Oryctolagus cuniculus: one gene and its partners. The protein of the gene in region 1 interacts with the protein of each later gene in a pairwise test. Links are inferred from orthologs where the notes say so. Each region holds a gene or a part of one and is shown in the gene's direction. Other genes may lie near its edges.

Region 1 (4,988 bases):
GCTGCCCAGGTGTTGCCTTTTAAAAGAACAGAAACGCAACCCAGGTGCATTAGCAGGGAACTGGATTGGAAGTGGAGCAGGCAGGACTCAAACTGGCACTCATACAGGATGCCAGCATCGCACTTTAATTCACTACAGCACAATACCAGCCCCCAAAGTCTATAACTTCTTACGTTGGCTAGCCTTCTATTGCATGAGTGTACCTTAACGTATTTAGCCAGTCTTTGATTGTTGAACATTCACTTTTTTTTTCATTTTTTGCTGTTATAAACAATCCTGTAAAGTGTCCCTTGTGTGTGCGCGCGCACATGTTTGTATTTGTATGTGTATCTTTTCGTCCTTGCCCCATTATTTCTTAAATGGCTGGAAGAGGAATTAACGGTCAGAGAGCATTCATACACTTTTAAAGCTTTCTGTACCTATTGCCAAATTGCTCTCCAAAAGGTTTGTACCAATTAACTTTCCTTCCTGCTGTGTACAAGGCCCTGGTCCTTATTACAGCCCTAGTGTTATTATTACTTTCAACCTTTGTTACTTCTTTTCAATACAGATTCATTTTCTGTATTCTTAATATTCAAAGCAGACAATCTGCTATTTAATATTTGGATCTCTTAAAATACTAAAATAACTCATGTGTAGCTATTGGCAGTTTTCTTTCCTTTGGGTCAGGGCCCCTGATACAAAGAAGGTTGTTCACCCATGTTCTCCATCTTTCCTCCAGCCTCTGTCGCTCTCCACCTCGCACTCCAGGAGTACAGTTCTGACACGTTCAATCTGTCCCTAATCATAGGCAACAACGGCACAGTCTGAATTCAGCTGTAACTCTTCCTCATCTGCCAAGATTCCCATCCTCCTCCTCCTCCTCCTCCACATCCTCATCCTCACCACCACCACCAACATCCACATCTACAAATAATTTATAGTTTCCGAACAGATTTCATATACAGCAACTCCTTCTCATAAGCATCCCATGAGCTGTTCAAGGTGGCCATGAGTCTGGGCTTTGGAATCACATAGGCCTGGGTTCAAATCCTGAGCCATACCTTAACTACTCTGAGCTCATTCAAATTACTTATGAAGTGGGGATGATAATTCAGAAGCTCAGGGCTGGCGCTGTGGCATAGTGGGTAAAGCCACCACCTACAATGCCGGCATCCCATATGGGCACCGGTTTGAGTTCCAGTTGCTCCAGAGTGGACAGTGAGAGAGAGACAGAGAGAAAGGTCTTCCTTTGCCTTTGGTTCACCCTCCAATGGCCACTGCGGCCGGAGCGCTGCGGCTGGCAAACCGCACTGATCTGAAGGCAGGAGCCAGGTGCTTCTCCTGGTCTCCCATGGGGTGCAGGGCCCAAGCACCTGGGCCATCCTCCACTGCCTTCCCGTGCCACAGCAGAGAGCTGGCCTGGAAGAGGGGCAACCGGGACAGAATCCGGCACCCTGACTGGGACTAGAACCTGGTGTGCAGGCGCCGCAAAGCGGAGGATTAGCCTATTGAGCCACAGTGCCGGCCGCAGTTGCTCTATTTCTGATCCAGCTCCCTGCTAATGGCCTGGGAAAGCAGTAGAAGATGGCCCAAGTGCTTGGGCCCCTGTCCATGTGGGAGACCAGGAAGAAGCTCCTGGCTTTGACCTGGCCGAGCCTTGGCCTTTGCAGCCATCTGAGGAGATGCCAGCAGATGGAAGATCTCTCTCCCCCTCTCTCTGTAACTTTGTCTTTCAAATAAATAAATAAATCTTAAGAAAAAATACTTCAGAGGCTTGTTGTATAGTCCAAATCATGTATGCAGAGATCCTAGCACCATTCTGCTATGGACAGGCCAAATAACTAAGGCCTGGAGAACTCAAGGAATTGGTTCAAGTCCTATGCGAGACCAGATATTTTTACCCTTAATTTTATTGTCTATCTTTCTTGTTATGAACTATTTCAGGAGAAGATGCTCTGTGCCCATCATCTAGCTTTATAAAGAATTACAGAAACAAATGGAAGTCTCCTACATGTCCTTCCCTGATCCCACTGTCCCCTCTCCCACCCTTCTCCTCCTCCTTCTCTCCCCACTCCCCAGGTAAGCACTATTCTGAATGTGGTGTTTATAATTCCCATGAGGTTTCTAAAAATCTCCATATTTGTGTATGTGTGATGAAGTCTGGTATTGTTCTACATGCTTTGAAACAGTAACCTACTGGGCAGATCGTTGTGCAGCTGGCTTTTCATACACAGTAGGATTTTTGTATTTTATTTGAAATACAGAGTTACAGAGAAGCAGAGGCAGAGAGAAAGGGGGGGGTCTTCTATCCGCTAGTTCACTTCCCAGATATCTGCAATGGCTGGAGCTGTGCTGATCCAAAGCCAGGAGCCAGGAGCTTCTTCCGGGTATCCCACGTGGGTGCAGGGGTTCTAGGACTTGGGCCATTTTCCACTGCTTTCCCAGGCCACAGCAGAGAGCTCGGAAGTGGAGCAGCCAGGTCTCGAACCAGTGCCCATATGGGATGCCGGCACTGCAGGGGGCAGCTTTACCCGCTACACCACAGTGCTGGTCCCCACAATAAGTTTTTAGATTTTAACCATGTTAATATATGTCAAAATGTTTGTGAAAAGTGTGCATTACCTTTGATTCCATTTTCCACAAATCCTTCAAAGTACCCTCATATGTCGTCGAATGTATGAGTAATCCTTTTGTTCTTTCAACAGTATGATCACCATTAAGACCTTTCCCACTCAGGCCTGACAGGTCAATTCCCTCCTCCTTTGCCTGCAGTGTTTGTCATGTTGACATGTGCCTTTCACTATGGCCGTGAGGACTTGGATGCAATTGGTCTGACATTCCACAAAGATCTGTATGTCCAGGTCCAGCAAGTGGCTCCGGCTGAACCCACCAGCCCCCAGGGACCCCTCACAGTCCTGCAGGAGCGACTACTGCACAAGCTGGGGGATAATGCCTACCCCTTTACTCTGCAGGTATGGACCCCAAGTCCTGGGCATGGTTTCCAGGGAAGAGGAAGAAGGAGAGCAGAGGACAGGAGTCTCTTTTTCTTCTGTGCACTGACCTCCTTTTGGTCCCCTAGATGGTTGCCAACCTGCCTTGTTCAGTGACCCTGCAGCCAGGTCCTGAAGATGCAGGAAAGGTGAGGTTTGTGTCCCGAGAAAGAGGGATAGACAGGTAATGCCAGGGAAGAGGAGTAAGGAGGGAATGGATAAGACTGAAGGAACAGCCAGCTAAGGGGAGAGGCCAGGCATTCCTCTTGGAGGCCCAGGAGGAAATGAGGGACAGTGTTGGAAATGAGCTCTCTTTGCCTCCTACCCCTTTGCAGGCCTGTGGTGTCGACTTTGAAGTGAAGAGTTTCTGTGCTGAAAACCTGGAGGAGAAGATCCCCAAGGGGTAGTCTTCAGCCCTTCCCCAGATGCCTGCTCTAGCTTCTGCCAGGAAACAGATCCCGGTCTCACACACAGACAGCCCGACTTCTAACCTCCATAGCACCATTGCCACCAGCTCAGATGCCTACTTTGGAGTCCCCTCTGACTTCTTTTCTTTGCCCCAGGGCAGGGGTTGGCAAACCTTTCCATAAAGGGCCAAAATCTAAATATTTTGCTTTTTGCGGGCAATTCTGTCTCAGTTGAACTCTGCCACTGCCATTGGGAAAGCACGCTCAGATAGTACAGAAATGGGTGTGCCTGTATTGATGGACACAGACATTTGAATTTTATATCACATGCATGTGTCATGAAATATTTCTGCTCCTCGATTTATTTCAACTATTTACAAACGTGATCATTATTAGCTTACAGGCCATACCTAAAAAGGCAGTAGGCCAGATTTGGCCAGTGAGCCATACATAGTTTGCTGCCCCTTGGTAAAGGTACCAGAAGATTTCTGGGAGGGAGGCCTTCCCCCAACCCCCACTCCCAAGCAAGGCCTGGGCTATGGGGTTGGCATTGGAGAGGTCTGTGGGTCCCATAGGAGATGTTCTGGCTGATTCCTTGGCTTCTGCTCAGACACTCGGTGCGACTGGTTGTCCGGAAAGTACAGTTTGCACCCCTGGAGCCAGGCCCTGGCCCCAGGGCCCAGACCACCCGCCGTTTCCTTCTGTCAGCTCAGCCTCTACAACTCCAGGCCTGGATGGACAAGGAGGTTTGTGACCCTCCACTTCCTGCCCCCTACCCTACAATCCCTCTGATGCCCTGTCTTCACCCACCTCCTTCTTTGGTAGGCAGAGATGAGAGCCAGGGCAGCAATAGTGCCAAGGACACAGGAATTCTCAGGTTTTGATCTGAGTGTTTTTCCTCCAACCTCATGATGGGGCCTCTCCTCCTACTTCAGGTTCACTACCATGGCGAACCCATCCCTGTCAATGTCTCTATCAACAATTGCACCAACAAGGTCATCAAGAAAATCAGGATTTCAGGTGAGCTGCTTTTCCTGTCCTGCACCTGGCCCTAGAACCACAGGTCTCTGAATCTCTGCCCCACTTAGCCATCTGCATTCCTCTTAGCCTTCCCTCCAAAACAGGTTTCCCAAAGCAGATAATCTTTGTCAAAGTGCACATCTTACTGCAGGATGTAGTGTGCCCTTGTATAAGGTCTCATCTGAGGATAGTGCAGTGGGATCTCGAGGATCGCTGATTCTAGCCGTGTGCTTTTCCTGGCTTGTTTAGTTGACCAGATCACGGACGTTGTCCTGTATTCACTAGACAAGTACACCAAGACTGTGTTCCTTCAAGAGTTCACGTGAGCTGCCACTGGGGCTGGGGTCAGAGAAGCGAGGGGTGGCATGGTGGGAGGCAGAGGAGGGGGTTGAGGAAGGAAGAAAGGGTAGGGGGAGCCCAGGAATGGGCTAGAACAGAGAAAGGGAGGGATTCCCAGGAGAACTGGGTGGTGATGGGGTGTGGCTTACCCATAGGAGAATGGTCACAGGGCTGAAAGGAAGGCAGGGGCACGAGGACTTCTCACTGGAGCTAGTTCCTCTTACTCTTTGCTGTTAGACTTGTCACCTCT
Region 2 (5,426 bases), on another chromosome or scaffold:
CTGAGGGCAGGGATAGCCAGGAATTCAGTCCACGTGAGTGGCAGGGACCCAGTCATGTGACCATCACCACTGCCTCCCAGGTTCTGCATTAGCAGGAAGCTGGAGTCTGAAGCTATAGCGGGGAACCAAAAACCAGAATTCCACTGTGGGATGCGGACATCCTAAGTAGTGTCTTAACTGCTGGGCCAAATGCCTGCCCTCCTCCCAGAATATTCTGAGGGAAGAATGACTCTGGGTTCACTTAAATTCCCCAGTACCGTGCCCCTGATGCCAGAGACCTGTTGTCAGCAGGAGGGTGAGCACATGGCTTCATTACTTGGACATGGACAGGCACGGTTGACGCTGTCCTTGTGCTGAAAATAGAAAGTTAAGCATGATTACATAATCTCTGGGTTCCTCCAGCTCTGAGATTCCATAGACAATCAAAGGGTTAGGGAGAGGAGGCTCGTTTGTTCTAGATTCCATAGCTGGCTCTTTATAGGCAGAGGAACAGTGCGGGTGGAGGCGGCATCCACATCATGGTCTCAGTGGCACTTTCCTAAATCCACCTTAGTCAGGGTCTTGTCCTTGGGAGAGAAATTTGGAAAACTTACTGCTCCGGGCAGTAAGGGTAGACATGCACTAAGCAAACCAAATGACTAATTTGTTTATTTCATTTGAAAGGCAGAGAGACAAGAGACAGAGAGACATACAGGCTAACAGAGAGAGCCCCATCCACTGGTTCACTCCCCACATCCCCACAACAGCCAGGGCTGGAGCAGGCCGAATCCAGGAGCCTGGAACTCAGTTCCCATCTCCCACATGGTCACCTGCTGCCTCCTTGGGTCAGCACTGTTAAGAAGCTGGAACAGGAAGTGGAGCCAGGACTTGAATCTCGGCACTTCGATATGGGATGTGGGTGTCCCTGAGTGGAGTCTTAACAGCCAGGCCAGATGCCCACTCTCAAATGCCCAACTTACAAAGAGACAGTGTGAGGGTCTCCCGGGCCCCTCGAAGACCCCAGCAACGGGGTCATGGAACATGTCCTGGCCAGCGACAGTCAGCCCAGGTCTGTGTCCCCAGGTTAGGATCCACATTTGCAGCGGTTGTCAGCTTCCAGCTGGCCTGCGTGGCCCTGGCTCCCTCGCAGTGTATTTTAGTAAATCTAACTCTGCTCACTCTCCGCTCTGGTGAATTCTCGCTGCCTGCCACACAGGCCTCAAATGGTCACTTCCCACGACAGATGGGAACAATAAAATAGCAAGGGCACCGAGCATGCTCACTCCTGCCCCTGTATGTGTGACCCTGTGGGCGCCTGGAGGGAAGCAGATGGTCTTTAGTGCCCAGTGGACCAGATGTTAGAAGCGGGTGGGCGGGGGGTAGGAACCACACTCAGCCTTAGCAGGCTCAGGGGGAATCCTGAAGTGTCTGTCGCCTACACAACAGCGACACACCTGCTCCAGGTGGGCAGGGATGCTTCTTCCTCCAGTCAGGGCTCTGTCCCTGACTGTGGGAAACGGAGCGGCACCATCCCCAGGACGCCTCGTGCCCGGGCTTTCCTGGCTGCCGGGCCTTCCTCCTGTACGCCCATCGCCTCGCCGCGCGGTCCAGTCCTGCCGCTCCCCGCCCCCGCCCCTCACCCCGCTCAGCTCGGTGTGGGTTTTGAAGTGCTCTTCCCTTTTTCCCAACCGGAGCAGGCGTGGAGAGGGCCCTGTGCCTCCCGGGGCCGTCCTGCAGGTGCGGGCCGAGTGGGCAGCAGGTTCCTTCCCACGTGGGCTTGTCCAAAGGGCTGGGTGCTGAACTGCCGGGCAGCGCCTTGCCCGAAGTCCCGGCAGCAGCGGGCTCGCGGCCACGAGTCCAGGAGGGGCGTGTCCCCGCGCTCACCTGCCATTGGCCAGGTGAGGCTGCCGGGTCGACCGCCGCGGCCGAGCTATAAGTGCCGAAGCCGAGGTTGCGGGGCCCAGGCGCGGTCAGGATGGTGGACAGCGTGTACCGGACCCGCTCTCTGGGGGTGGCGGCCGAAGGCCTCCCGGACCAGTACGCGGACGGGGAGGCGGCGCGCGTGTGGCAGCTCTACATCGGGGACACCCGCAGCCGTACCTCCGAGTACAAGACGTGGCTGCTCGGGCTGCTGCGGCAGCACGGCTGCCGGCGGGTGCTCGACGTGGCCTGCGGCACCGGGTGAGCCCGAGCGGGGTAGGGGGGCGACCAGGGGTCGGCTTGGCCCGGCCGCCAAACCACATGGCAGGCAGGAGCCAGGGCCCAGGAGCGCCGCCGCCGCCTCCGGGGGAAGAAGGGGTGCGGCGAGTGTCCGGGCGAGGGCGGAGGGAGAGCGGGGGTGAGGGTGCGCGGGCCTGGGCCTGGGCCGCAATGAGAGCGATCAGGGCGCAGAGCAGGAGCCGGACTTTGGGGCCAGCCCTGATCCTGGCTCCCACCTGGCCCCTCCAGCCCTGACCTTGGGCAGCGTTAACAATTGCTCAGCGTGCGTACATGCCAAGCGCTGCACCAGGAACTTGTGTTCCTGCTGTTTTTCAAACCCTCACAAAACCCCATGGGGGTGAGTAGTGCTAATCCGCACTCACTCCTGGGGAAGTGAGGGCTCAAAGTCAGTCAAGGCCCCACCTGGTGCGGAGGAGACACCACCCCAGGTTGGTTAGGGTCGCGCCACTGCGCTGTCCTGCTTCTGGGGCTATAACTTAACTCCAGGAACTGCAAGTTGTCCCTTTCTCAAAGGCAGCTCACACACCTGCCCCAGAGTCCCTGGGAGGATTAATGCAGTTTGCACATTGCCTGGCTCTGCAAAGGTGCTCGTTAAGAGGCGCCCCCTGGTGATCAGCTGCAGATTTGCCAGGTCATCTGAGGGCAGTGAGAAGGCAGAGGAAGCCTGGGCCTCTGGAGTTGGGACAGAGGGGCTCCACTTGCCAGGGGCCTCCTTGTCTTCCCAGGCCCCTGACTGCCCCTCTCCGACCCTGTGCAGGGTGGACTCCATCATGCTGGTGGAGGAGGGCTTCAGTGTGACGAGTGTGGATGCCAGTGACAAGATGCTGAAGTATGCGCTTAAAGAGCGCTGGAACCGGCGGCACGAGCCTGCCTTCGACAAATGGGGTATGCAGTTCCGGCTGGGCGCAGCCCAGAGACGCCGTCCTCTCTGCCCTGGGTGCCAGGGCTGGGCAGGGGGACAGCTGGTTCTCCTCAAGGGGACAGCAAAACGGTCATCTCTCTGAGGAGGAAGGCTTGGGTACCAGAATGGGGCAGTGAGTGTGAGAGCTTTAACTGGCCCTCCCCCCAAATGAACACACACACACAGCCCCCACCTCTCTTGACCCCTCCATGTCCATCAAGACCCCCTCCTAACTGGATAGGATTGCGCACGCATGCAGGTGGGTGTGCATCTTAAAGAACAAACAGGCAGGACTGCACTTGGTGGAGGGGTGCTAGTCATGCCACGAGGTTACCCTGCTTCCTCTTCTCCCGCCTGGCCCCATAGTCATAGAAGAAGCCAACTGGATGACTCTGGATAAAGACGTACCCCAGCCAGCAGGGGGTGGCTTTGATGCGGTCATCTGCCTTGGAAACAGTTTTGCCCACCTGCCAGACTGCAAAGGTGAGAGGTGTGGTCTCGGGCAGGCAGAGCCTTGCCTTGAACCCCACCCCTTTCCACAGACCCCTGGGAGCCTGCCCTCCTGCCAAAGCACACTCTGCTCTCTGCCCTCCTGTGCCGCAGTGCTGGAGCCCCTGGGGAGGAGACGGATGGGGGGAGGCTGGCGCTAGGGGCCCTGAGCTGACCGAGCCTCTGCCTGGAGCTCAGGGGACCAGAGCGAGCACCGGCAGGCGCTGAAGAACATTGCAAGCATGGTGCGCACCGGGGGCCTGCTGGTCATCGACCACCGCAACTACGACCACATCCTCAGCACGGGCTGTGCGCCCCCCGGGAAGAACATCTACTACAAGGTGAGCCCCCCAGGAGGGAGGGGCCGCAGTGCACGGTGTGAGCCTGGGCTCCAGGGCCCCACGGTGGGTGACAGAGGCTCACACAGCCTGTACCACTGCCCAGAGTGACCTGACCAAGGACGTCACGACGTCAGTGCTGACAGTGAACAACAAAGCCCACATGGTGACCCTGGACTACACGGTGCAGGTGCCGGCGGCTGGCCAGGACGGCCCTCCGAGCTTGAGGTAACACTGGGCTTGGCGGAGGTGAGGTGGCCATGAGGGGAGCCGGGGCCAGCAGGCCTCACGGCTGGCTGGGGCTCTGTTGCAGTAAGTTCCGGCTCTCCTACTACCCACACTGTCTGGCACCCTTCACGGAGTTGCTGCGAGCAGCCTTCGAGGGCAAGTGCCAGCACAGCGTCCTGGGCGACTTCAAGCCTTACCAGCCGGGCCAGGCCTACGTTCCCTGCTACTTCATCCACGTGCTCAAGAGGACAGCCTGAGTGCGGCCGCAGCTCCCACAGCCTCCTGCCCGACCTGGGGAGGGGGGCCCGGCAGCCCCACGCCCAGCCCCTCTGTCCCTGCAGGTGCTGGGGGTGTGGGTTCAGGCCAAAGGTAGAGTAAGCAATACAGCCTGTGCCTTGTCGGATCCTGCAGGCTTTGTGTTTCTATGTTGCTCTTCTCCACACCAAACAGTCCTGCCACAACACCAGCAGGGGGCGGCATACACTTTATTTTCAGCCACTGTGAGGGCCCAATCCCCAGCTCTCCTGAGCAGCTGGCCTGGGGCAGGAGATGCCTGGTGAGCTCTTCCTGGGGCTGCCAACACCGCTCCCTACCCAGGGCATCTCCCCGAGGGAGGTGGTCTTCAGGTGCATCGTGGGCAGCAGCCTGAGCAAGGGCCCTTTCCTCTCAGGTCTCTCTGTGGGGCCACCTGGGTACCTTTAGCCATTCTGGACAGAGTCCCGGTCTGCAGGGGGCTCCTAGCAGGCAGCAAACTTGCGCTGGATGCGTTTGTACCGCAGCAGCTCCTGCTCGCTGACCGAGGGCTGCAGCTGGGCGGCGGCCTGCAGCAGGTCCTCCATGGTGAGCAGCAGTGCCGAGCTGGCCGGCTCCAGCCCTGGGGGGAAAGGGGGGTGGCAGGGGGAGACCAGCGGCCCCATCTCCGCTGAAGGCAGAGGCTGTGACCCAGGGGAGGGCCCTTCCTGCTCAGAGTGCCCGGATGGCCCTCTTCTGAAATGCAGCCCCAGGCCTGGCTCGCACTAGTGTTTTTGGTTGATTTCTGGGGCTGGCAATGGGCTCACCTTCCTCCAGGTCACGAACCCTGCGTTTGAGGGCAGCTGTCATGGCGTCCGAGCAGAGAGAGTACAGGTCTGCGCCTGTTAGCTGGGGCGGGCAGCAGTCCAGCACCTTCACCAGGCTCACCGAGGGCTCAAGCTTGAATCTTGTGGGGGTGGGGAACAGTTACAGCAGTCCTCACATCCTCCCTCTGAAGCCATCACTGCCCAACACACCCC
Region 3 (5,467 bases), on another chromosome or scaffold:
GTGTGCTCACCTCCAGCTGACAGCCCCTCCCTGGCTCACTGACCACCCTCTCCAGGCCCCCTCAAGCCAGAGCTGAGCTTGGTCAACTCCTCAGTCTCAAATGTGACCGGAAGTAAGGCCTGCCCTGCTCTCCCACTGCTAGCCCCTCCCCAGCACTCCTGCCTCTGGACGCTGCTCCACTTGCTTCCCTCTAGGGCACACATCACTCACGTCATTGCCTTTACTCTTTTTTTTTTCCCTCAGAGAGAGAGAGAGCGAGAGAGAGATCACTCCCTAAAGGGTCACAACAGCCAAGACTCTGCTAGACTGAAGCCAGGAACCAGGAGCTTCCTCTTAGTCTCCCACGTGGGTGGGAGTCCAGGGACTTGGGCCATCTTCCGCTGTTTTCCCAGGCACATCAGCAGGGAGCTGGATTGGAAGTGGAGCAGCCAGGACTCATGGGGCGCCAGCATTGCAGATGGCTGCTTAACCCTTTACCCCACAACGCTGCCCAGACTCTACTCTTGTTTCCTGGCCCTTGCCCCTTCCCACCAGCAGCCAGTTGTGTTCAGGATGCCCAGCATGGCCTGGAAGGCCACCAGGACCACAGGTGCCTAGCAGGTCCTCAGTGCAGGTTTGCTGAACGACTGAACCATCCCACAGACCACAAAATGCAGTTGGCAGCATCATCCCTGTTTCTTGAGGAGGAAACCGAGGCACAGAGGAGTTACAAGGGCCTGTGGTCATCTGGCTAGGAAATGACGAGGCCCCAGGAGTTAGCCCAGGTGCTGACTCAGAACCCAGACTCTGACCTCTGAGCTGAGCTAAATGCAGAAGGAACACAGAGGAGGGGCTTGGCAGGGAGCTGTCTCTCAGAGGAAAGATCCTAACTGCTGGTGGGACCAAGCTGATGGCGGCAACCTCAGAACCCTACATTTTACCTACTTTAGAACTACAGGGTGCGGAGCAGCGAGCACCAATTCCAGTCCCCTAGAGCTGGTCCCAGACTACTCATGGACGAGCACACCAGCTGTGACCAGCACCTGAGTCCAGGTGTGGCTCCTGGCAGGTGCTCTTACAGGGCCCTTCCACATCCAGCATAGCCCCTGCCACTTGGTGGAGAGCCAGGCCAACTGGGGTCTGGCTGGCAGCCCAGGAGGAATCGCTGTCCACACAGGAGCCCCACTCCTTCCCTAAGGAGCCAGAGGATCCCAGCATCTAACTAGTGCTGGCGCCCATTGCAGTCAATGCAGGAGGGGAGGAAGGGGCTCAGGCCCAAGGCACCAGGACAGCCATGGCCACTGGGCCTCTGGTATCCAGACAACCCTCCACCTACTAGACCAGGCCACCTTTAGGGAGGAGGGCTTCCCACTGCTTGCCCTTGAGGGTCTGAAGGAGTCTGCCTTCCCTCTCCTCTCCTTGCCCTGGAGGGGGACAGAGGATGGAGCAGGGCGTGGAGCGCTGGCCACCCAGACTCAGGGCCTGACAAACCGGCTGGCCCGGGGAAGCCCCATCTGAAACGTGGGTGACAGCACCGGGGCAGAGACCCTAACTCCTTCACCACCTCCTGGGGTCCAAGTCTTGTCTCCCCTCCGCCCCTCGGCTGAGCCAACGGCCGCGCCTTCGGGACTCGCGGAGATCAGGCGGCGGTGGAGCAGGGAGGGGGTGGGAGAGGCCTTCCTGCGCCCCCAGACCGCCCTCTCCGGGAGTGGGCGAGGGGCACCGGGAGGGGAAGCGCCCCTGGCCCGCCTTCCCGGGACGTGGGCGAGGGGCACCAAGGAGGGGAACGGCCTGGGCCGGCGCGACCCCCGCCTGGGCCCTCGGCACGCCGGGGCCGGGGCCCGGGCGGGGCGGGGCGGGCCCGGCGGTGTCGGGTGTCGGGTGTCGCCCCGCGCACACCTCGGCCGGGGGCGGGAGCGAACCACTGAGATGCGGAGACCTCCGCCGTCCTAGAGCGGAGCAGGAAGTGTCCCGGGGGAGGGCGCGCGGGGTCCGGCCTTTCCGCGCCTCGGCGTCCGCGGGCTCGGCGGCGCCCAGCGGCCGGGGGCGCGCGGCGGGCAGCGGCGGGGCGGGCGCGAGGCGCGGCCGCGCGGGCGGCGCCGGCCCGCAGCGAATCGGGCCCTGCGGGGAGGCCTCACCGGAGAGGATCAGCGGCGGCCGCGGCCGGGGGCTGGATCCGGCGCCGTGCGAGGGGCCCGGGTGGACGCCGGGGCCGAGCCAAGGCCGCGAGGTGCGCGGGGTGGGAGGAGAGTGCGCTCCTCGGAGGATCCCGGCGGCCGCGGCCCCCGGGGCCGCCCCTCGCGTCTGCCGGGCCGAGCTCGCGCCAGGGGCCGGGGGACAAAGGGGCGAGGGGCCTGGGTACTGGGGCTGCAGGTGTGGCTGGGAGTCCCGGGCCGGTGCGGAGCGCGGGCAGGTGGCGCCGACGGGTCACAGCCGCTGGCCCAGTGCCCGCTCCGTGCGCCGGCTGCACTGCAGAGACCTGGGTGCCCATCGGAGGTTTTGCAGCTGCTCTGGCCTCATGGGTCCTCCTGCAGAGCAGGAGCCAGGCCCGCACGGCCTCCTCACCGGGACGCCTAAGCGGCGCTCACGCCCAGGTGTCAGTGCAGAGGGGGTATGAGAAGCAGATGCCGGGCAGGGCACCGTGCCGCCACCTGCCCGCCCACTTTTCCGGTGCTCAAGATGTGCCTCGGGGACCCGCGCTCAGCTGCAGTGGCCTCAGGTCCCCCCGACGGCAGCGGCTTCTGCGGGGCTGTGCCTCCTGCATTACAGCCTGGGATTCAGGAGCTCTGAGCCCGCCGTGGGAGTGCGGCGTCCCGGCCTGCGCGGGAAGGACTGTGGGTGGAGCCCAGAGCAGGGACCAGGTCTCTGGGTGGGGACAGGGCGACTTCAGATGGGGTAGATGTCCGAGTGAGTTGGCCGACAGACTCGTGGGAAGACCTGGTGCTAGGTGCCTCCCTGTTTTTCTGTGGCAACCTGCAGGTGCGGCCTCTGGTGACCTCCGGGTCCGGCCCAGGCTCTTCCCAGCCGCGCTGCAGCCCAGGGTGGGGTGCTCCGAGTGTGTAGGCCCGCAGGGCGAGGGCAGCCACTGGAGCTCCGAAGCTTCAAGGTAGAGGGCTGGGCACCCGTGGGTCCTGTCCAGATCGACCTGCTCTCCCGAGGGCCACTGGAGGCTCTTCTCCCGCTCCCCCACCCCTTCCACCCCCACGGCATTAGGGACCCAGGCGGTGGCACTGTCCTGTGTCCAGAAGGGTTGTTACGCACTCCAGGGCTTTCCCGACCCCCTGCCCCAGGCGTGACCCCGGGACCCAGCGTCGAAGCCGCGATTTCTGTTTGGAACCAGGTTTGTCTTCCGCCGCTGACCCCGTCACTGCAGCTGGTCATGCCCACGGCGCTGTGCCCCCGAGTCTTGGCTCCGAAGGAGAGCGAAGAGCCCCGGAAGATGAAGAGCCCCCCAGGGGAAGACCCCGGCCCTCGCGCCGAGCCGCCCAGCCCGGAGTCCTCCCGCCGCCTCTTCCGCCGCTTCCGCTACCAAGAGGCGGCGGGGCCGCGTGAGGCGCTGCGCCGCCTGTGCGAGCTGTGCCGGGGCTGGCTGCGGCTGGAGCGGCGCAGCAAAGAGCAGATCCTGGAGCTGCTGGTGCTCGAGCAGTTCCTGGCCATCCTGCCCCGAGAGGTGCAGAGCTGGGTGCGGGCGCAGGAGCCAGAGAGCGGCGAACAGGCAGTGGCCGCGGTGGAGGCGCTGGAGCGCGAGCCGGGCCGGCCCTGGCAGTGGGTGAGCTGGCGATCAGCCCCGGTCCGCGTGTGGGAGGGGCCACTGCACCTGCCCGGAAGGAGCCTGGGGTGGGCAACTGTGGAGTTGTGGTGAGCCCCAGCCCCGGTGTGCTCTGCCTCAGTCTGAAAAGCCCCCTCTGGGGTTGCAGCTCAAGCACTGTGAGGACCCCGTGGTGATTGAGGATGGGGAGCAGGAGCAGGAGCAGCTGCAGGCGGAACCGCACAGGGACCTTGCTGGGGGCCCAGACACCGAGCCCGTGGCCCTGGCTCAGAGCCCGGGGCTCCCAAGCAGACCTCCAGGCCAGCTCAGTGGGGATGCAGGTACGCAGCCCCTGGCGGCCCTGTGTGGTGGGTGTGGGCTTTGTTAGGGTGGTGGCTCTTGACTCCCCTGGCCCCTGAGGAGCTGTGAGCCATTCCCAGAGTGTGGGTCCGTCCCTAGGACGATGGACTCAGAGCCTTATGGGGACTTCTGCCCTCCCAGAGGGAGCGCTTGCAGAGGTGGGTGTCTTGGAGGTGCATCTCTGCACCGTGTCCACAGCTGTGGCCTGAGCTTCCGGGAACCTGTGGCCCCAGCTGAGCGGTGGCCTGCAGGGTCCTTGTGGTGTTCCAGGGAGGCACAGGGAGGTGGCAGGCCCAGGTGTGGTTCCAGTGCCATTGGATGGGAGGAATCCTGGTTGTGCAGTAGTCTGGGAGGCCAGGGGTCTGCTGTCATCCTTGGCATTGTAATCAGCTTTTCACTAGAAACAAAACACCTGTTAAATCCACATGCAATACTGTACAGGATTCTGCATGGTTAAGGTGAGGTGGGTGTGTGAATTCCAGGGCTGCTCACTGGGCCCAGGCACAGGGGCTCTGTCACCGACTTAGGAGGGTGGGCACCTGGGTGTGTTCCAGTCTGGGTAGGTCTGGGCTCACCCTCTGGAGCTTTACCTCCTGAAACAGCCCTTCAAGTGCAGTCACAGCCTGTGCTGCTGTAGGGTTGGAACCTCAGCATGAACTTGGGAGCACATCCTGCCAGAGTCAGTGTCTGTGTATACGGCCTGGGCCAGGCAGGGAGAGGCCCTGAGTGTGGGGGCATCGTCCTGGACCAGGCAGGGAGAGGCCCTGGAGGTGTGTGGGGGACACCCTCCCAGGCTGGGTAGGGAGAGGCCCTGAGGGTGTGGGGGGAAGGGAGAGGCGCTGGGGGAGAGTGGGTAGGGTATCGTCCTGACCCACGCAGAGAGAAGCTGTACATGGGGGAGTGTATCATCTTAAGACCCTCCCTGCAGACGAGCTGTCTGCTGGTGCCATCCCCTGGTCTCCTTTGCCAGACAGCCCTGGAGTGGGACGGGGACTGGCTCACTGGGACACCCTCATCTGGTCTCTTTCAGTTCTGCAGGACATGCCAGTTTTTCAGGAAGAGAGTATGTGGGGTGCCCCCCAGGTGACCGCCCTTCAGCTGCCTCCGGTGAGTGATCTCTGCAAGTCTTGAAACCTTGCTTCTTGTACCTCACAAGGTATTCAGCCCAGCCCAGAAGAGGTGAGACAGGTGGGTCTCAAGCCCTCCTCCCACTCTGCAGGCAGTGATGGCTGATCCAGGCGACTTCAGTCCTGTGTCCTTAGGGCATGGCCTTGGTGTGCCCAATACCATGTCCTATGGGGCTTGCTTGGGCTCTGCAGAGATGAGGTGGTGCTGGCCAGGCAGGTACACTGGGTCCTTCTTGCCCCGTCACTGTCTCAG
Region 4 (5,665 bases), on another chromosome or scaffold:
CCAGCCTCTGGCTCGAGCTCTCCACTGCGAGGTGAGAGTGCAGCCGACAGCGATGGCTGGGACTCGGCTCCCTCAGATCTTCGAACCATTCAGACCTTTGTTAAGAAAGCAAAGTCATCCAAGAGAAGGGCGGCTCAAGCAGGGCCCACCCAGCCAGGACCCCCAAGGTCCACTTTCTCTCGTCTGCAGGCCCCCGACAGTGCCAGCCTGCTTGAGAAGATGAAGCTCAAGGACTCTCTGTTTGATCTGGATGGCCCTAAAGTAGCATCTCCGCTGGCTCCCACAGCCCTGACACACCCCTCCCGGCCCCCCGCCGCCCTCACCCCAGTGCCCCTTGCCCAGGGGGACCTCTCCCAGCCCCCTCGAAAGAAGGACCGAAAGAACAGAAAGTTGGGGCCCGGTGGGGGGGCTGGCTTTGGGGTTCTCCGGAGGCCTCGACCGGCTCCTGGGGATGGGGAAAAGAGGTCTCGGATCAAGAAGAGCAAGAAGCGGAAGTTGAAAAAGGCAGAGCGGGGGGATAGACTCCCACCTCCTGGGCCTCCCAGGGCACCCCCCAGTGACACAGACTCTGAAGAGGAGGAGGAGGAAGAGGAAGAAGAGGAGGAGGAAGAGATGTCAGTAGTGGTAGGGGATGAAGCCCCAGCCCCTGTGCTCCCCACACCCTCTGAGGCCCCCAGGCCCCCTACCACAGTGCACCCCGAAGGCGCCCCTCCCACCGACAGTGAAAGCAAGGAGGTGGGCAGCACTGAAACAAGCCAGGATGGAGATGCCAGCTCCAGCGAAGGCGAGATGCGGGTCATGGACGAGGACATCATGGTGGAATCAGGTGAGGTGGGGGCTGCCTGGGCAGCGGGGACGGTGGGGTGCGGGGTGTTTGGATCCAAGAGCACAGGCAGGACATCCAGCAAACCTTCTTTCCCCAGGTGATGACTCATGGGACCTGATCACGTGTTACTGCCGGAAGCCCTTCGCAGGGCGGCCCATGATCGAGTGCAGCCTATGTGGGACGTGGATCCACCTCTCCTGTGCTAAGATTAAGAAGACCAATGTCCCTGACTTCTTTTATTGCCAGAAATGCAAGGAACTGCGGCCTGAGGCGCGGCGGTTAGGGGGGCTTCCCAAATCTGGAGAGCCCTGACACTGCCAACTCCAGGCTGGAACTGGCAAGTGACGATTCGGGAACTGAGCCTCGGGGGCTTCAGCCCATCCCCTGGAGTCTGGATGTGGTCCCCGCTTCAAGGCAGGAACGCCCAAGGCAGACTTCGGAAATGAGTCTCACGGTCCCTCCCTCCCCTCCCTCCCCAGCCTGTGGACTGGAGTGGACGTTGCGTTGGGCGTGGGAGGCTGTCGGGGGCCCCGGATGCAGCATCTTGGACCTGCCAGGGTTGGAATTGGGATGGACTGGGACAGCTGTCTATAAACTCTAGTGTAAATATAGCATTCCCCTCCCTCATCTTTTATTTTACTCCCAATTTATTTTCTTCTACACCGGTTGTATTTTTAATGTTGGACTTCCTCTTTCGAGCGTGGCGGCTCAGAGGTGGAGTGAGCCTGGCCAAGCGAGCAAGGAGAGCGGCAAGGTGACGGTCCTCACGCACCTCTTGTTTTTACTACTGGCCAGCCGTTTGTACAGACAGCCTGCGTGTTGTAAATAAAGCAGAGTGGGCTCTTTGTGTTTCTAGCCCTCCCTGACTGTCCTGCTTGGGGGGAGGCTCTGGGGGAGCTGGCCGCAGGGCACAAACCCACCTCGGCGTCCGGGCCTTCCCGCGCCGGGACACAACCCCAGGGGCTCCGTCGGCTTCTTCCCTCCACGCGCGCCCGCGGTCCCGCTGCTCCTGCACGGACGGTCGTGCGCAGTCGCTTCGCGTTCCCGCCCGGACGGCGCAGGGCGCCCCCCACCCCGAAGACGGAGGTCCCCAGGACACGGTGCCAGCCGGGAGGACCTCCGGTGGGGGATACGCTCGGGGGCGGAGTGGGTCGGGGCTGGGAGACCGTTGCTGAAGGCAGCGGTCACGTGGAGGGAGCGCTGGGAGGAGCCGAGTAGTCACGTGATGGCGGAGGGGTCACGTGGCGAAGGGCGGTGCAGGGAGCGCGAGGTGGGCGGGCTCGGGCCACGTGACATGAGGCGAGGTGGGCGGGGCCCTGGAGGGCGCTCGCGACGTCGGCGGCGGTGGCGCGCGGCGGCTGAGTGCGCCGCTCCGGGGCGCGTCGCGCGGCCCGCCACCCTGCCGCACCCCGCCGCCTCCCCGCTGCCCCACGCCCACACTGGCTCTGTCGCGTCCGCGCTCCGGTCGGGGTTCGAGTGTGCGCAGGCGCGGCGGGCCGCAGATAGCCCCACTGGGTGGGCGGCGGAGCCCGGGAGCGCGCGGGCGAGACCATGGCGGGCAGCAGCACGGGGGGCGGAGGCGTCGGGGAGACGAAGGTGATTTACCACCTGGATGAGGAGGAGACTCCCTACCTGGTGAAGATCCCAGTCCCCGCCGAGCGCATCACCCTTGGAGACTTCAAGAGCGTTCTGCAGCGGCCCGCGGGTGCTAAGTACTTTTTCAAGTCCATGGATCAGGATTTCGGGTGAGCGCGAGGCCTAGCCTGGGACTGACGGGGGCTGTACCCGCACGGATGGGGCGTTCTGCAGGGGGCACGGGTCTGCTCTGGGTTACACGGGTTTTCTGGCCTTCAGTGGATCGGATTGTGCCACACTGAGGCAGAGTGGCCGTCCCAGGACGGACAAGGTTATGCCTGGACAGATGGATGCACACGGAGCGATAAAGTGGAGAAGATTGGGCCATATGGAATAGGTGGGGGCGCGCAGGTTGGTTTTGGGGTGGTCGGGACTGAGCGTTTTCCTGTAGCACACAGCTTGTGTGGAGACAGCCTGCAGTCTCTTGACATAGCCGGGCTTGTGTTGGCGGCAGTTGGAACGTTGTGGCAGAGACAGGATTGTTTGGGGACTCCATGGAGTGTATGCATGCTAATGCAAAAAAAAAAAAAAAAAAAAAGTTGCGGTGTTCTAGGCTGCCTTGGAGTGGGCTACTGGACGGGCTGGGGTCATTCTGGTCTCTTGGTTGATCCTAACCTAATAACTCTTCTTCGGCACGCATCGGGGCACTTAGTACAGGGCAGATAAGGCTGTTGGGGCTTTTGCTAATACAGACAGCTGTATTGGGATAGTCTAGTCTATATTGGTGCAGACAGCTGCATGCAGGGACGTTGTAGGCTGTGCTAGAATAGATTGGGCTATCCTGGGGTAATTTGGGGATTCCTGGACTTGACTGGGACTGTAAATAACATATTCGAAGCCCTTTTGTTTTTCTCACTTTGGGGAATGACCACTCTTGTTTTGACTGCTCAGTTGTTTCACTGGCTGGCTAGATTGTGTTGATGGCTTGGATTTTAGGGGGACGGAACAAACTGGACTCTGCCTAAAAAGGTCGTTCAGCGTGGGGAGAGTGACAGTTGTCTTGGGAGTTATCTTGGGCTTAAATCAAAGCTCTTGGATTGGTCAGCAGTGTAATCTTGGGCAATTTCATTTACCTTTGTGCGTTGATTTTTCTCACATTTGAGATAATCACAGAGTGAAATGCTTAGTTCCCGCGCTTGGCACATGGGAAACTCTTGGGGCGTGGTCATCGTTGTCCTTGGCATTGAGGCCCACAGGTCCACAAACTCGGTTGTGGTGATACAGAATAGCCTGCCGTGGAGTGGGTTGAGCTGTGCCAAGATGGGTTATATTGGGAGAACACTAATTACACTGAAACAGATTGGTAGTGGCTGGGCCCTGTTGTCACATAACTAGCAAATGGATTCAGTTGGTGTATATACACACTCCCAGAGGCATATTAGGCTAAAGGGTTAATCAGACAAGATGTTCTGATTTGGGGAGGGGAGAGGGTGTGTTTGTGAGACAGAGGAGAAACCAGAGAATCTATTGGTTTGTGTGTTTTGTTTGTTTAGTCAACAAGTGTTAATGCTGCGTGGTCAGGGCGTGGTGTACAACAGAATGGGTGCTGCTGATTGCAAGGGGTGGTTGAGAAGAAAGGGGGGCAAGTCCAGTCCACTACAGGGAACACAGGGGAGCTGGTGGGGCTTTGGGGTCTTGAGACCCAGCATGTTGTTGAGAGCAGAGTTCTTCCAGGGGAGGCACAGGGGAACGGGAAGCCTGGCTTCCTCTCTTCTTCCCAGCTCTCAGCCTAAGGAGATGCTGTTGGTTCCTCTAATGGGCTTTTGTCCCCTGACAAAGACAGCACATCTGGACCACTCTCTGGAAGTGGATTAGAAAAAACTAAAGGGAAGTGGGAGAGTAGAAGCTTGTATGAGGTTGGGGAAGGTGTGTACGGAACAGGGCTGGGTTTGGGGACGGCTACCAGCAAGGCTCACTGGCAACCAGGTAACCACAGGGGTTGGCCTTCCAGTCATGCTGCAGGAAGTCTTTGGAGCAGCATTGCCCCTGAGGGCCAGCTGGGGCGAGCAGGCGAAACGTGGTGGGAGTGGGGTTTGGAGGTTGTTTCCCTAGGAGAGAGGGGGAACGAGGCAGGGGGTGGCCGGCATCCTTGAGCTGGGTGAAGACGGAGAAGCTGGCGGCGGGGGTGGCTGACCCAGCCTCGCTGACCTCGTCCTGTCTCCCGGCAGGGTGGTGAAGGAAGAAATTTCAGATGACAATGCCCGCCTGCCCTGCTTCAACGGAAGGGTGGTATCCTGGGTAAGGGCCCATTCCCTCTGGGTTCCCAGGCTGCTCCCAGCCTCATCTGTCTGTAGCCTCTCCCTGCCCAGTCATTGCCCTGGCCCTTTGCCTCCCTCCCTGTTTGGAGAGCCAGTGGGAGCTCCTCGGCTTTCTTCTGGAGCCTCTGCCATGAGGGGGCTTCAAAAACGTTCATGGGAAATGCATAGTATGAGAAAAGGATGCGTGGGCTTCAAAACAGGGTGCGTGGGCATGCGTCAAAATAAAGTTATTATTACTTTTTTTTTTTTTTTTTTTTGACAGAGTGGGCAGTGAGAGAGAGAGACAGAGAGAAAGGTCTTCCTTTGCCGTTGGTTCACCCTCCAATGGCCGCCACGGCCGGCACGCTGCAGCCAGTGCACCACGCCTATCCGCAGGCAAGAGCCAGGTGCTTCTCCTGGTCTCATGCAGGTGCAGGGCCCAAGCACTTGGGCCATCCTCCACTGCACTCCCGGGCCACAGCAGAGAGCTGGCCTGGAAGAGGGGCAACCGGGACAGAATCCGGCGCCCTGACCGGGACTAGAACCCGGTGTGCCAGCGCCGCAAGGCAGAGGATTAGCCTAGTGAGCCACGGCGCCGGCCTATTGTTACTTTTAAAAATGTATTTGAGAGACAGCCGTCTCCCATCTGCTTATGCATTCCTCAAATTCTGGCAATGGCCTGGGCTGGGCCAGGCTGAACTGGGCACTCAATCTGGGTCTCCCGTGTGGGTGGCAGGGACGCAAGCGCTTGAGCCATCCCTGCTGCCTCCCTGGGTGCGCATTAGCAGGAAGCTGGAATCGAGCCAGAGCCTGGTTTTGAACCACGGCCGTCTGATAGGGGACACAGGCAGCGTAACTGCTAGGTCAAACGCGCACCATCACTTGTCTTTTAAGTCCGGTTTCCATGCACTTTTTGAAGTCCCCTTGTATTTGGCTCTTCTCCATACTCCACAAAACCCCATCCGCT

Evidence for each region. The genes of interacting proteins can lie anywhere in the genome.
Region 2: the proteins of ARR3 (region 1) and GNMT interact in a two-hybrid assay, tested with the Homo sapiens proteins (2 studies listed by BioGRID and IntAct). The two-hybrid records come from large-scale screens. The link is inferred for Oryctolagus cuniculus from reciprocal best matches to the Homo sapiens genes ARR3 and GNMT.
Region 3: the proteins of ARR3 (region 1) and ZNF496 interact in binary tests that used the Homo sapiens proteins (3 or more experiments, as listed by UniProt). The two-hybrid records come from large-scale screens. The link is inferred for Oryctolagus cuniculus from reciprocal best matches to the Homo sapiens genes ARR3 and ZNF496.
Region 4: the proteins of ARR3 (region 1) and DVL2 interact in a two-hybrid assay, tested with the Homo sapiens proteins (2 studies listed by BioGRID and IntAct). The two-hybrid records come from large-scale screens. The link is inferred for Oryctolagus cuniculus from reciprocal best matches to the Homo sapiens genes ARR3 and DVL2.

The regions. Positions count from the first base shown.
Region 1 is NC_091453.1:50,170,717-50,175,704, forward strand, and holds part of ARR3 (arrestin-C), read left to right. Parts: intron 1-2,754; coding exon 2,755-2,954; intron 2,955-3,061; coding exon 3,062-3,121; intron 3,122-3,307; coding exon 3,308-3,375; intron 3,376-3,989; coding exon 3,990-4,125; intron 4,126-4,314; coding exon 4,315-4,399; intron 4,400-4,648; coding exon 4,649-4,721; intron 4,722-4,988. UniProt on the Homo sapiens protein: May play a role in an as yet undefined retina-specific signal transduction. Could bind to photoactivated-phosphorylated red/green opsins.
Region 2 is NC_091436.1:127,046,278-127,051,703, reverse strand, and holds GNMT (glycine N-methyltransferase), read left to right. Parts: upstream 1-1,917; 5' UTR 1,918-1,954; coding exon 1,955-2,160; intron 2,161-2,956; coding exon 2,957-3,084; intron 3,085-3,466; coding exon 3,467-3,583; intron 3,584-3,787; coding exon 3,788-3,930; intron 3,931-4,033; coding exon 4,034-4,155; intron 4,156-4,240; coding exon 4,241-4,412; 3' UTR 4,413-4,558; downstream 4,559-5,426. Other genes in the region: PEX6 (peroxisome biogenesis factor 6), read right to left, coding at 4,893-5,029, 5,214-5,353. UniProt on the Homo sapiens protein: Catalyzes the methylation of glycine by using S-adenosylmethionine (AdoMet) to form N-methylglycine (sarcosine) with the concomitant production of S-adenosylhomocysteine (AdoHcy), a reaction regulated by the binding of 5-methyltetrahydrofolate.
Region 3 is NC_091437.1:1,716,180-1,721,646, reverse strand, and holds the start of ZNF496 (zinc finger protein 496), read left to right. Parts: upstream 1-1,958; 5' UTR 1,959-2,209; intron 2,210-2,958; 5' UTR 2,959-3,085; intron 3,086-3,319; 5' UTR 3,320-3,358; coding exon 3,359-3,748; intron 3,749-3,896; coding exon 3,897-4,068; intron 4,069-5,117; coding exon 5,118-5,194; intron 5,195-5,467. UniProt on the Homo sapiens protein: DNA-binding transcription factor that can both act as an activator and a repressor.
Region 4 is NC_091448.1:51,838,791-51,844,455, reverse strand, and holds the start of DVL2 (segment polarity protein dishevelled homolog DVL-2), read left to right. Parts: upstream 1-2,156; 5' UTR 2,157-2,377; coding exon 2,378-2,571; intron 2,572-4,629; coding exon 4,630-4,699; intron 4,700-5,665. Other genes in the region: PHF23 (PHD finger protein 23), read left to right, coding at 1-826, 924-1,138.